Linked DNA regions of Lepisosteus oculatus. The protein of the gene in region 1 binds, or shares a complex with, the protein of each later gene. Links are inferred from orthologs where the notes say so. Each region holds a gene or a part of one and is shown on either strand. Other genes may lie near its edges.

The links.
Region 2: ncoa6 (region 1) and kdm6a share a complex: the UniProt entries of both Homo sapiens proteins name them as parts of the MLL2/3 complex. The link is inferred for Lepisosteus oculatus from reciprocal best matches to the Homo sapiens genes NCOA6 and KDM6A.

The regions. Positions count from the first base shown.
Region 1 is NC_090711.1:6,899,189-6,906,208, reverse strand, and holds the start of ncoa6 (nuclear receptor coactivator 6), read right to left. Parts: upstream 3,087-7,020; 5' UTR 2,985-3,086; intron 811-2,984; 5' UTR 770-810; coding exon 538-769; intron 187-537; coding exon 31-186; intron 1-30. UniProt on the Homo sapiens protein: Nuclear receptor coactivator that directly binds nuclear receptors and stimulates the transcriptional activities in a hormone-dependent fashion. Coactivates expression in an agonist- and AF2-dependent manner.
Region 2 is NC_090710.1:3,601,571-3,609,609, forward strand, and holds the start of kdm6a (lysine-specific demethylase 6A), read right to left. Parts: upstream 3,006-8,039; 5' UTR 2,641-3,005; coding exon 2,468-2,640; intron 2,286-2,467; coding exon 2,222-2,285; intron 1-2,221. UniProt on the Homo sapiens protein: Histone demethylase that specifically demethylates 'Lys-27' of histone H3, thereby playing a central role in histone code. Demethylates trimethylated and dimethylated but not monomethylated H3 'Lys-27'.

The DNA of each region.
Region 1 (7,020 bases):
CAAAACGGCTGTCCACCTCTCCTAGCTCACCTTCTATCTGCACAGACAGGATGCCCAGATCGCGCAGCTGCTGCTGGTTGTTCTGCGCGATCAGCCGCAGGCGGTCGGCGGCGTCCCGGGGGATGTTGAACGTCACGCGCACGCTGTTCCAGGGCTCCAGCCGCTGGGGCAGCAGCCGCTCCGAGTCTGCCCGGGCACAGGAGGGAAAGACGGGTGAGAGGAAACCACGAAGAAGCCCCGCCAACGCCCAGCCGCGGCCGGTGTGAGTGACAGAATTCGCAGTTAAGGCACTGAAAAGTAGGAGTTTGCACTGATGTTTTGTTTTATGTAAATGTCCATACCTGATGCTGGATTCTACTACTCTAGTCACACTATTACAACTTTCCACTGTTACCTCTGTACTTGGTTCTGTATAAAAGCATAGACAGATTGTGATCCAATATCGTTTTCCCAGTGAGATCAAATCTTTGCTTTTATCCATAATGTGGTGGGTACAGTGTATTTTAATTCTCACAATGCTATCGCGTTGTTGCTCACCTAGTTCCAGCATGCCTGGCATACTTTCTAAGAAGTTGTGCAGGTTCTCCTGGAAGTCTTCATCACCCATGTTGCCCTTAAAGGCGATGAAGATGTTGGAGTTGTTGTCCTGGCAGCGGGGCCGGGGTGAGAGGTCATGGTCATCCTCCACCCCAGAGTCCAGCCCCGTGTCTGGTTCGCCCACAGGTGCTGTCCACGCTGAGGGTGGCTCTCGGCCCTGCCAGTCTGCCATTGCCCCTCCTGTAGAGCAGCGAGGCTTGATCAAAACCAACCCTGCAGAACCGAGAGGCATTGTGGGAAGGGCTTGAGCTCAGGTTCACACAAGTAACAGCCAATCAGGTGCAGCACAAAAAAAGGTCAAAACAGACTACCTGACAACCTCACAGTGCGGCTCACAGGAGCTGTACAATGGGCCCAGTACTGTTAAGATCTCAATTACATTTATCAGCTATGGGAAAAAAAAACATTTCAGGAACAAAAAACTATTTTTAATGTTCTCATAAACATTCTAAATTGAATGAACAATTATTGCTCCTAAAGGGATGTCTTGCACATCACAAAGCTCATACACAAATACGACCACAATATAATGCAGCAACAATAACAAAGTTGTTTGGTGTTTGGACCACATTCAACGTCCAGTACCATAAGGGTTAAAAAACAAAAAATGTTCTTACAAAAATCCAAAAACAAAACTAATGTGATCCCTACCTACAAACATTTTAATATAGAAGAGTTGAACGCTTTTAGGTATAAAGGAAAGAAGTGATCTCTTAGTCTTTATACAGAAGATGCAATACCTTCTCCCTGAGGATAGGAAGGTATATTCTAAAAAGAGTGGAGGTGAGGGGTCATCTCAGATTTTATGTGCAAAATTAATAATATATCACTCCATTACTGAGTCCAGGATTGTGGAAGTAGTCTTGCCACCAGTCCTGATCACTTTGTTCAATTTATTTTTGAATATAGGACAAGGCACCTCCCCAGCTCTGAATACAAAAGGTTAGGCCTCTCTGTATAAAACATCTTATTACAAGGGTCAACACTGTGCTTTCTACGCTGCTATATCGGCCTTCATGAGCGGTTGGAAACATGACAGACATGCACCATCACAGCTTCCAAAGAAGCACCATCACTGAAGAAGAATGCACAATGTTTCTTCAACTTTTCAGATTATAGAGAAGTTCAATGCAATTTTCCTTCAAAAGAGGCAATCCAACTGAAGCTCAGCTCTTTGACAGAAGAGACTGGGCTGGACCACACAATTTGTGACATTAACTATAAAAATAAGAGCATAAAATGATCGTACCCCATGGTCATTCAGCCTACCTAAGCGAAAGAGTATTCAGAAACCTGAGTTTCATAATAAACCCCTTTCTTTTCAGCATTTTTACATGCAGAAAATAAATACCAGATACCAGCACCACACACGAATTCACACAATCTCGACCTCCAAGAATAAACTGAACAGATAACGCAAAAGCATGACAGACAGCAACTGACAAAACCGACCTTTACGTCTAGGAAAAATGAATAAACCCTGCATGGATTTAATAATTTAATAATAGAGTCAACAGAAGGAGTAATTATTCCTCCTCAAAAACAGTTTATCTTTGGCAGTAATATGACCAACAAGGAATGCAGAAAATGCATGTATATTCGTATTTAAACCACTATAACGAATCCGAGCAGCTTATAAGATAATTCAGTAACATTTAGCAGTCTGTGCACTGTAGTTATGTACAAGATACAAGAGCGGCATTATTGTACATCTTAAAAAGATCATATACAGGAACCATTTCTCACGAAAATACATTTCTTTAAAAATCTCAATATAAATTTGAGTTCAAGTAAAAAGAAACAAAAGCTGTGATCGTGACAGGAAAAATATAAGTTAGGGTTTTGACACCTTAAAATAATGGTTTGTAAGAATGATAGCACCCATATCAAAATGCTGCATATTTTGCATTTGCCGAGTAATTTATTTCCATCATTTCAAACATCACACACACTGTTGGCTACCAGTCTGGAGGAGATGCATGCGATGGTTACGGTGGAGATGTTATCCCAACGATGCGCGTCAGCAGTCAGAAGAAAACCCTTTTTGGTGACATTTTGGTTTCAACCTGCAGGTTTCCGAGACGCGAAGGCGTCCCCCCTGCTCGCTTCAGACCGAAAACCGTACGACAGACGCGAACTCGAACCCGAAAGGAGCGGATTTCGTTTTCCGCCCGAGATTTGCGATGTATGAACGCAACCATCACAGGCCCTCCGAGTTTGGTTTTCCGCCACCATGGATGTGCAGGCTATACACCGGCTCCGCAGCCGGAGATCTGAATCTCTGCCATAGTCGGTAAAAACGCCCTCGCTTTATTGCAGTTACACCTTTTAATCTTTTTTCTTTAAGCCAAGCAGAACAAGCACATAGGCTGGGTTTTAATCCTTACCTGATCACTCCATTGGAATCAACTCCTGTTCGGTAACAAAAAAAAAACGGAGCAGGCAGCCGTGACAACAACACGAAGCGAGGGGGGGGGGGTGGGCAGACACTAGACAGCCTTTTCTCGTTTTCGCCCTATTCACAAATCAATCTCCTCCTGCTTCCTGGCATGAGGCGTGTAGTGTTAGGCTGCGCAACTGGCGTAAACGAATCGTTCAGGGCGTCGTGCAGATTTGTCTTTTCGCTTGCCGTAGTTTCCGCCGATGGCGGTGATCTCTGAGCTAAGGAGAACAGGGGGAGAAGTTAGCTCCGCAACAAGGGACGAAGCTATTGGTTGTGAGCTGCTCTGAAACTCAGTAAACCGAAATTCTCTTTGACAAAAATCGAACCAATAATTGATTTTAGTAGTGAAGGATTTATTATTATAGCAGAACAGGGGGGTACGACTTAGTTCTGCATTTTTTTTTTATTCGCTGCTACACTGTATAATTTATTACCTAATAAAAACACGTCCGACGTTACCTTGTAAATTCACACTTCCGTGATGTTTTGTCGCTTCGCCTGTGTGTGTGTGTTGGCGTTGAGCAGCAAGAACAACATTTTGTTAAATTAATGTCTTGCGCACGCAAACGACTTTATTTCTTTTTGCACTTTGCTGTTAATGCTAATAATTGTCGTTCTTATCACTCGCAGCACACGAAAGAATCACAGACCGAACAGAAAATAGAAATGTTCCGTCCTCCAGCAGTATCAGCGCACTTCTCTTACCGTGGCCTGATACAGTAAAACTAGTTTAAAGAAATGCATGATTTCCTGACACTCTTTACATTGTCCTTATTGCTGTAATGGGTTATAATAATGGCATAGTCGGATTTATAACGCCTTATTTTGCCCACATGTATACAACCACTTAAACCAAGTTATACAACCGGTTTTCGGCAAATACGTAAATCATGATAAAGTAATGGAAATAAAAAAAACTAGCCACAGCATATGCCCTGATATAGAATTGTTTTAAACCCATCACCTGTGCATTCCAACATCGACATCAACCAAAGCGCATATAAATGCATATACTATATGATATAGTGCGTATAAATCATAACTACGTACAAAACCACAATGACCTTGCCTCACAGTTTTTGTGTTTCATTCTAAAACTAAAGCTTGGGTACCTTATCTGTGGAGTTAGCTTGGTCTCGCATCACACCCATGGGTTTTTGTGAATTATCTATTTCTCTCCCAACATCCAAGACACACTGGCTAGTTTAAGAGGGTACCTAAATTGTCCATGACCCACTTGAGCCACTGTGTGTCTGTACCTTGCAATAAACTAGTGTCCTGTCCAGTTTATAGACCTGCCAGTTTGTAGATAGCCTTCCGTTTCTGTTAATGGATTGTTGATGTGATTTTGTAACACAATACAGTATTTCTAGATAGTATTACTGTGCTTTTCCTGCTTAAGTGTTTTGTTAATTTCAGTAAAATATGTAATTACTCTTCACACTGCTAGTTTGTAATTAGAGTATAGATTGCTCAAAAGTAAGAACATATGCTTGTGAAGAAGGCAAACTTAAGGTAGGTAAAAAAAACTACATACTACAAAACACACAGTCTTGACATGTTTTATTAGAAAATCTGTTAGACCTTGTACATGAGATGAATGAACATTGACTGCTGGCAACATCATAATCTTTTAAGCATTATTTTATGGCAAAAAGGCATTTTTAAGTGTCAGCTTTATTAAAAAAATAAAGCGTCATCCAGTTTTGTGAACTGAAGGTTAGTAGCCTTCCACTACAAGAGTACTGTTATAAAATACAGTACATTGACACCTAGTTCATTCAGTCGTCCCTTTTCTTCCATTAAACTTGGCTTCTTTCTGATTGCTAAATACACATGACTAATGTGCAGAAGAACAGGCTGGGCAAACAACAGCACTAACATTTTGATATAACAAAAGATGTTCTGTTTTGTAATGCAAATGCAACATTACAGAATGAACAAAATGAGGAACGGGATTGATCCAAAATGGGATGTAATCTTTTTTGGATCAGTATTAGGGCTACAGATAACAACAGCAGCCAGAGCAGAGCAACAGCTGCTCAGAGCAGGAGTAGCGTATGAGAGGGTACCAGCAGAGAACCATCGATTTAATTGATCCAGAGATTTCTGAATAAACTCTGTTCAGCTAATTGACATGATGAACCTTGTTAACACAAATTCAAATATGACCTCTTTTTCAGATCTGTGAAAAGCTGTGTGTATAAGCAGAGCATTCAGAAAGTTGTCCTAGACATCTAATTTCTCACAATTGTCCTGTGATTTCTGCCTAAAAAGGGAATTTGTACTGTAATGGTCCCTGTTGGGTATGATTGAAACATTGTGTCCTAACGGTATGACTAAGCATGGCATGTCCTTCAAATGTACAAACTGTTAATCTTATTGTTAATCTAACTTGTAGCCCAAAAGGTTTCTCTTTCTTCCTTCAATTTAACAAAATTAAATTGTGTCTGTGTTTCATATAGTCGCAACCATCGCTGAACTGGGCCAGTAATCTCAGTGGAGTACTGTACGTTTGAAAAACAAGAGATCTAAATAAAGTGTAATCTCCAGGAACTACCCTTATCCCCCAACAATAACTGTATATACCACAATTATATTAAATCTAAGATAATAATTCTCAGAGTGATAATATCAGATTCTGACAACATACATTAAAACGAATACAGGGGTGATCACTACAAAACACATTACTTGTGATATCACTAGTTCATGTCCCACTGCATTTATTGACTAGAACTCTACTGTGCCAATTAAGCAGAGGGTATAATGCAAAGTAAATCCAAATTCCTAGGTTAATGTAAGTCTGTCATGGCTCCTAGTTGAACCATGTACAGTACAGTTTTAGTGTGTCAAAGATTAAGATATTAAAGTATGCTGTGTTACAGTGAAAACAGTACAGTAATGCAAGCTCCTTTATGGCACTTTGACTTGGTTACCTGGCTGGGATGGAGAATTAAATTGCCAACTGCATAAATAGTTTCTTAATATTTCTAAATTATTGATAATTTCTGCGGTAGACTTAGGGCTTGACCTTAACTGATCTCCAGATCTTAGTGGCAATTATTAACATAATCAGGGAGTCCTGTTGCATAGCTGACTTCAAGTAAAAATTACTAGTTACTAGTTTGAAGAAGAAAAACCGATTTCCTATTTTAATTGTGTATACATAAAAAACTAACCATGTAACATTACAGACATTTCTAATGTTCAGTGTAAAGTTAGGGTTTTTCCATTCATTATACAAATGTTATGAAACCATAGCCTGTCAAATGTTTGCATCTCTTTCCATGAAAGTCTGCTTTTATACCTATTGTTTCAGTCTGCAAACTTTTAGCAAAAATGAAACTTCATTCTCAGGTACTAAAATGACATCCTAAGCATACTGTACCATCACTTCAAATATTGCATTTACAGTGTACATTCAAAGCATCCTTCTGGACATTTCTACCGGCAGTCAGCTACGATACCTTACATTCTGTTCTACTGATAATTTGCCAAAATCATCCCGTAAGTGGCACAAAATGAAGCAGTACATTACATTACAACAGTAGCGGGACGGATGTTTTAAGCATGTCATGATTCAGTCATGTGAATTTCCATCTCCAACAGGTCCGGCCCCGATCAAAAAACCTCTTGGACAGATTTTAAAAATTGACCTTCTGAATTCTGAAAAGCAAAAAATGCACTTTAGATAAAGCTTCGCACTATCATTACGGACACCTGATGGGCGCACGGCGGATGACAGGAAATTCTCAGCAGCACATGACGCCCCTCTTTTGATACAGGGCAGGGTGGAAGGAAAGGGGGTTCGTGTCAGTTCTTGGGGTTGGCCTGCATTGATGGTCAGTGGTATTTACAGTGTAGCAAGTGAATGCTTCTGACTAGACAAGACTGCAACGGTGAAACTGCTGTGCAACATGCCCTGTGAATCTGGCAAGAATCTACAATAAATATCGAATCGTGCACCTGTCTGCAGG
Region 2 (8,039 bases), on another chromosome or scaffold:
TTAATGTAATCCCATCCTCCCTATTGCTTAAGACTAACACAGACATTTGGTGGCCTACCAATGATTCATAAAGACCACTGTAGCAGTAGTTTTACATTTAAAACTTTTAATGAAAACTACACACAGTAAGAGAATCAACACTTTCCAGGCGCCCAGGACCTCAATGTGCTATGAAGAGACACTCCTGGTCAAACAGCAATAATTTTCTACCAACGTGTTCGCACTGTTCTGCAGTAAGGTTTTGCTGCCTCATCCACACATCTTTTTTGAAACCATAAAACCTGCGAGGTTATTTTCACCAAGACAGCAAAAGTAACAACATGGCAAAATTGTACCTGGAAATAAAACCCCAAATTCTGGGCTCATTTAAAGTGAACGTTCACCAAAGCTAATCCAAAGGCTTGGCGTTCAAGCACAAACACGCAACAAAACAACAATTCGATAAAAGGGACATTTGTGTGACTAAATGACGCCCATCTTTCCCCTAATGTTTATCCTTCCGTTTCGTTTATAGATTCCCAAATACGGAAGTGATATCCTACTCTGACTAGAATTAGTGTGCATCGTTAATACAACCCTAAAACTGGAAACACAATCCGTAGTTAAAAACAATGGCTTCGAGCACCACCGACGCCTTTTAATTTACATATCGGGGCATGAGGACAAATCCTACAAGAGCGTATTTCTCACACACAAGTCCACGAATTTCAAAACTGGTTCAGTCGCACCATACGTGCCAGTATTGGTGCATAGCGAAACTAAACGTTAACCGCATTGGTTACAGCCTGCGCGGGGGAAAAAAAAACTGAAGTTGCCCTGCCTCATGAATAATTGGGTCTACACTTAAGGCACCCTCACCCCGAAGAATATAATATCATGGCACACGAAAGAGGCCCAGACCTTCCAGACCTCCTGAGCACGACTCAACAGACGAGTGAAACAGACTGGGGGGGGGGGGGGGTTTGCAAAAACTGTGCACCTGCATCGTGCATTCTTTTAGAGTGAGGAAAAAATGGGAACCTCCAAAAACGGACCCCCCGGTAGCCTTTGTTCGGTGTCCAATGTGCTACAGGTTGATGATGCGATAGGTGCCGAGAGCAGGGGGTGGCACGCGCACAGCAAACGCAGCACACAAGCAAGCCGTCCCCGTCGGGGTTTTTTTTTTTGTAAATAAAACGCAAAATACCGTGGGTGAAAACGACGTAAAAAGTATAAAAATAAACGGAGAGAAACCGAACTCGCCGCCCAATGTCTCTCAACAGGCTTGATATATTCGATAATTTAGCTCCCCTGCCTCTATTTCTCTCTCACTTTTTTCTCCTCCCCGTCCCGCCATCTTGGGCCGATTCAAGCAGCCATTACTAACTATGTTTAAAAACAGAACCAACAACTTCGTCGCAAACCCCCTCTCCCCCCCTCGTAAGACAGCATCCCTTCCACACGAACACGGTCAACAAGTTTTTACTTATTTACTGTCAAGCAAACCGCGACGACAGGCACGGCTGGGTGGCGGGTACAGCTAACTGCACGACACGGCCATGTAAATAACATCCAGGGAACGCAACTGCTGGAAAGCACCAAATAACCGCAACAATTTCTGCTTTTAGCTTGAGCTAAAGTCATGGGGGGGGGGGCGGTGAAAGGATTTAAAATAAAGATCCTAATTCCCCTCGTCGCGAATTCAGGTTCAATAACACAAATCCAACTGCAATCTAAACCGCACAGCCATCTAACAATCCGTAATATCGCCACAAACTGGACGTGGCTCCCAAATATGACTGACCCATTTTTACAGATCCTACATCAACATCCGAGGACCAGTTTGCCAAAACTGTCCCCCTCCCCAAAAAAAAAACAGGGAAACGGAACCGCGCAGCCTGGTGAGATGCACGAAGGTCCTGATGTAGTCACTACTTTTCCATGTTAAAAACACACACGCACAATAACACTAACAACGTCACCGCTGCAAACATTGCTACCCTGAAAAATTAAATGCCCCAAAATAAGAGTCCCACTCCCGATCTCCCACAGCTCTGCAAATGTGCAAGACTGGGGAGAGGGTGCAAAACACACCAATTTTTAATGCACGGGGGGCGCATCGCCATGAGGTCGACCTCTTTTCTCTTAAAGCGCTTTAAACTAGGTGCCTCCCAGGTACAAAATGCACTAACGGGAGTTTAAGGGGGGGAAGGCCTTCTCGGGTCCGATATTCTTCAAATACCTTTAATAGCAAGGCCTTCGTTCTGGCGCCATCTTCATGAAGCCTCTGAAATCCAAACAGCCGGCTGTAAAACAGAAAACAACACACAGGCGGCTCCGCGTTAACTCGGGAGGTTTTGCAAAAAATAACCAAGCGGGTTTAAATTCACTCGTTTTTTTGGGGGGGGAAAAGAAGACCACCACCACCGCGGAACGCCAGGAAGAAGAGAAAAAGCGGCATTTTCCCCGCACCGCGCCCTTTTCTGACCTGTCTATCCCGGCCAGGGTGTCCCTCTCCTGCGCTGTCAGCCTCGGAAAGTCCTCTTCGGTTTCAATCGCTTTTCCCGCCGCCATTTTCTTTTCCTCATCACCAGCAGTAGCGCCGAGACTTCGAGCAGCAGCGCAGGCGGCGGCGGCGAGCGACACTCCGCACGATTTCATGGGAACGCACCGGGGGGGCAGCCAACGAAAAACCTCCACCAAAACAAAACAGCGAAGCCAAAAAAAATCGGGAGAGGGAAAACCAACTTTTTTATTTCCAGGATTGAAAAAAAAAAATGCAAAAAAAAAAAAATAAACAGTAAATCCTTTTTACAGGAGAGCAAAAAAAAAAAAAAGAAACCCTCCAAAATGGTCTTCTTTTTTTTTTTACATTGTTTTATACAAAAAATATCTGTATGCAACCGAGAGCGTTGTTGTGCATGGAGTGCTATGAATGCGGGGTTTTTCAAAACGGGGTGTTATTTGGTTAATATCACAAACTTCCCCCCAAACCACCAGCTCAAAGTTGTTGTAATTGTGTCACACAGGCGAACCCACGCCGCCGCCGTCGGTACGCCCTCCCCTCTGCCTGCCGCAGCCAATGAGGAGCGCCCGCCGCGTCATGTGACCAGCCTTGTCTGTGGATGTCTTGGGGTTCCTTTCTCTGGAGCTCCGCGCCTCTCATACAAACTTACAAAACGGCAAGGATAGAAAAAACACACACAACTTCGCTCGTTCTGCCCTCTCGCATGGATTGGTGGGCAGTCCATTCAATAGGGTGACGTTTTACCTTTCCGATGCCACGATTGGATGAGAGTCCTGCCATTTTCCGTGTGGTATTGCAAAAGGCGGCCTTAATTATACAGCAGGTTAGTAGGTCCAGCTACATATACGAGTAATTGCGATGACTGTGCCCCATTTTTTGGTTACAGCGTAGATAGTTTGAGGTGCGCTGGTTGTGATGGTAAAAGGCGAAGTTATTTCTTGGTTCGTGATTTAGTAAAATGCTCGGTGTAAAAGGCGAAGTTATTTCTTGGTTATTGATTCAGTAAAATGCTCGGTTAGGGGGAAGTGCCAAACTGCGGTTGTGCAGTTAGAAACCCTTTTTTCACTATAACAAAAACGCCATTATCTTGTTTTACCCATTTTTGTTTGTGGGGGGGGGGGGGGGTCGTTCGTTTTCATGGTTCCCACACAGATTGCGATTTAAAATGAGTTTTTTTAAACTGAAGGTGCCGTCGATATTAGTAAAGCAATCTGTAATGTGTAACTTGGAAATTCATCCCTTTCTGAGCAAAAGGCAGCGTAAAACGTGAGTGTGTGAAACTCGTAAAGAAACAGTAAAGTGAAATATGGTGCTTTGTACGCACAGCTGCAAGCAAGAGGTGGCCGTTGTGTCCATCCTTGTTTGAGATCTTATTTTCAAAAGGCATAACTTTTGTTCTCAACAAAAGGATGGAGAGCATATGCTCTGGACACAAGTTTGGAGAAATGGGTCCTGTTTTCCTCTCAATACATTCCTTTTTTTTTCAACTGTGATCTGGTTTTGTTAATACCTGAAAAATAGTCTTATCTAAACCCCTTGGCGTTTTGTATACTTGTAGCAAATTGCCTCTAGGAGCTAGAATATTGTAGATGTCTTACTAAAGAATTTTAAAGATGGTTCATAATTACACTGTTTGAATCCCACACTTTTTCCTATGCACCCCAAGTATTCCATTAACTTTTCTTTGCTTCCTCATGTTATTTTGATGTAGCTGAAAAATAATTCACATAAACAACCAGATGCTTCTTTTGTGTAACTCCCTGCAGCTCCAAATCACCCATGTGGGATGTACATGCATAGTAAATGTTTGTGCTTCAATGTTACTTTTAAATTTCATAAAATCCAATCCATTTTTTTTAACCCTTGGTACTTCTCTTGCTGCTGTTTGTGTGTTTGCCACTTGTGTTTTTGTGTCATGCAACCATTAACTGTTTTGTTAGCTAATATCAAAATCCAAATTGCTTATACAAATCATAAAAAATAAATATCAGCCCCTTTCATAGGTTATGCATTTTAGGATGGATAAATGCATAAGAATTCTTGTTTGTTAAACCAGTTTCAATCTATGTGCGTTTTTTTACATTGAGTTTTTTTTAATAAAGCTTTTAATGAGCGACCTTGTCAAATACTTTCTGGTAGTCTAAATATGTCATTTTCTATAGTGGTTTCAATAGTGGATCAACTGTCCTTGTCGCTGGTAAATTAAATGAGGCTTTCATCTAAATCCATGTTGGCTGTCTCTTAAAATGCAAATGTTTTAAATAATTCTTTTAGTTCAGTTCCAGCTATCATTTCTGTAACATTGCCAGCAACATAAATAAGACTGATTGACTTATAGTTTCCTAGTTTAATTTTGTCCCGCTTTTTATGCATTGGTGTTACATTTGCAATTCTGAAATTGGTGCGATTCTTAATGACGTGAATTATACTGGTAAAAGGTCTATGAAACAATCCAGACACTTTTTCTAAAGAACTACTGGGAAAATAGTCAGGCCGAGAGGAAGTGAAAAATTGTAGTCATTCCGCTTGCAGCAATACCTCATTCTCAGTTATACTAAGATTAATCAATACTCTAGGAATTCTTTCTGCAGTATAGAAATTCTTTAACTTGTTTCCAATACTTTCAGAAAGCAGAACACTCTTCAACTTGCCTGTTATTATTTTTGACTTTATTGAGTGATTTTCTCTAAATAAACATTTGCCACCCTTTTTTTTAAGAAAAATAAAATTCACCTTGAGTATTTTTCTTGTGTACTAGAATCCAAATATTAAGAAGGAGAACTGCAGCAGTGTGAACATCTATGTAAAATCAATTGCGTGTGTTATAGGTCCATCAACATATAGATTAATTTTTTATATGGAAAATAGGTAGAGGTCTTTGCTGAGCTCTAAACAAATGGAAATCTTAATCACTTATTACATGTGAGAACAGCCGATTGTGTTAAAATGTATGTGTTAAAATGATACATATACCTCAACCAATGGTTCCCAGCCCTGGTTCTGGAGGAACGCTCTTCTGTATTATATTCCAGTTGAACTCGAAGTATCAGGGGCTGATTGGTGATTTATTGGATCTGCCTGCTTGTTTAGATTTTTATTTAGCTCAAGGGGTGCTGCTTCCAACACTTCCAGTACACAGAACATTGTTTCTTACTAAAGGTCTCTTCCTAGTCGACCAGTTGCTGATGAACGCCCACAGTGAGCGTTTCTTTCTTCTGCACTGATCCAGTTAGATCTAACTGATTTATGCCAGTTTTGTGTGAGAGGGATGTTTTGTAATTTAGAAAATGACACAGGGATGAAACCAATTATATATCCCATTTGACCCTTTAAGAGTTAAAATTAATAATGTAGATAATGCTACAGGTTGAAAACACACATCAATAAGCCTGTAATTAAGAACTTGGAAGGAATGAAAATCAGAAGAGACATTATTCTCCGTGGCTCAGAACCCCAAGTCCTAAAAGCTGCAACAGCTGGGGATTAAATCATGACCCACATCATGACAGGCAAGGAAAAGAACCACAGGCCTAAAATGGCCTAGTTTTGTCACCTGGGTGCACTTTTGCTTTGTTTCCTTCCCATCTCATCTCTCCTCTTGTCCCGTACCATAAGCCCAGAATCCCAGTCACAGTCGGCTAGTGACCTGAACAAGGTCCGTAATCGTCCATAATCATAATCCGTAATCGTCGAGTACATTTTACACTCAGGCAAGCACTTTCAGCCTTGCTTTCAAGGCGCCCAGGAAGTTAACCAAGCACTGCAGGTGTCCAGCAGATTGTGCAAACAAAACCACCTTGAAGGCTTTATGAGTTACATGGCCTCAGGGTCCAAGAACCATGGTTGTCGTTTCTATATATGAACAAAATGTCAGTGGTCCACAGCGCTGTTGTTGTGTTAATTATGCAAGCGGTAGTCCACATTCTCAGGGAGGTAGATAGGCCCAACAAGAAATCAAAATCAACTTTCAGGCCGGCTTTAAACACAGGCTCATTACCTCATTGTCAGCTGGATTGGATTCCCTGGCAATGGGGGGCTCTCACAAACATAAAAACCCCTCCCACCCCCGCCCCCAGGGTCGTATCGGTAACAGTAGACATAGCATGCAAAAAAATCAGTCCTTTTCCTTCTGTTGGAGTGCTGCTGTAAATGAAGGGCATGTTAGGAGATAGATTATATGATGCATGTAGGTAATTTAATACCTATGTGCACATAGTTTTCCATATTTCTTGATTTTTTTGCACATATCGAGAGCATGTATTACAGCATACCTGTCATTTAAATAGCTTAGGCAAAGTGTTCTTAGAGCTATGTGGGAGAATAGAATCCAGGTCCATATTCGCTTGTGATACACTGTCAAACAGTCGGACAAGCAACCTATAATGTCAAATATGATTTTTGTTACATGATTAACATCTAATCATATTCATGGATGTCCTTGTTAAGATTTTGTTGACAATAAGATCACTTTATTGGCCATATACAATTTATTGTATTAGGAATCTGTCTCTTCGCAGACCCCAACTTGCTCTCCATGAGACACAGACAGGGAGAGAAGCTTGGGGTCAGAGGGCAGGGTCAGCCATATAGGATTTTTAGGACTGAGACTACTTGCAGCCAGTCTCCAGGTTCCAGGTTGCACCAGAAACATATATGTGCATAAAGATAACCTGGATTACATGCACAAAGAAAAAAAAAGAGTCATATCAGCTATTTCATAGAATAGAGTATTTCTCTCAGTTTGCAAAGGTCATGCAAGCTCCTCAGCTCTCTGCCTGTCAGGTGTGCACCACAGCCAGTAATGTTTGGGGCCCTTTGTTATAGTCACACATAGCAGGGGTCACTTTCCTGGCTGACAGGAACTCCGCTTCCTATATTGGTACAGTTCTGCCAAGCTTTAAATCTGTCAGAGGTGTCAGAGAGGCAGAGAGGAGTGGCTTTCTGTCACTAGCAACAGCAGAGAGGCCTGTAAAGCACAAGAGATGTGGGATGACGTAGAATCCATGTCTAGGTATAACTTTTCTAGACAGAACAAAGCAGAAGATGAAGCTGAAAAACCTCCTAGAGTTTCAAAAATGCACGATGTGCCTCTTCTGCGTTGAATTCATAACAGAAAAGCATGAAAAAACAAACCAAACTAATACAGGAGCAATTGTTCAAGAGGTAGGATTAGAGACTTTAGGCAAAAGAAAAAGAGCTTGTAAAGGTAAACGTTTTAACTGATTACAATGATTCTTTAAGTAGGTACTTTGCTTCACAGGTTGCTGTTTGTTTTACAGAGAACATTTTTTTTCAAAGAGAACTGCTGAATAGTGTTTTGAGTGTGGTTAGCACTCCATATTTTATCTTTCCTGTTGTAAAGCAATGTGGTGCGTTACTGCTATGCTAACATAACTATTTTAATGAAGGGAGCTAACTACCAAAGCAGATTTAAAGTAAATTCAGGAATCATCACAACAGAGGATCATGCACTAATTATTGGAAGTTGCCCAATACAAATACATAATTTATAAACAATTTAAAAAATAAACAT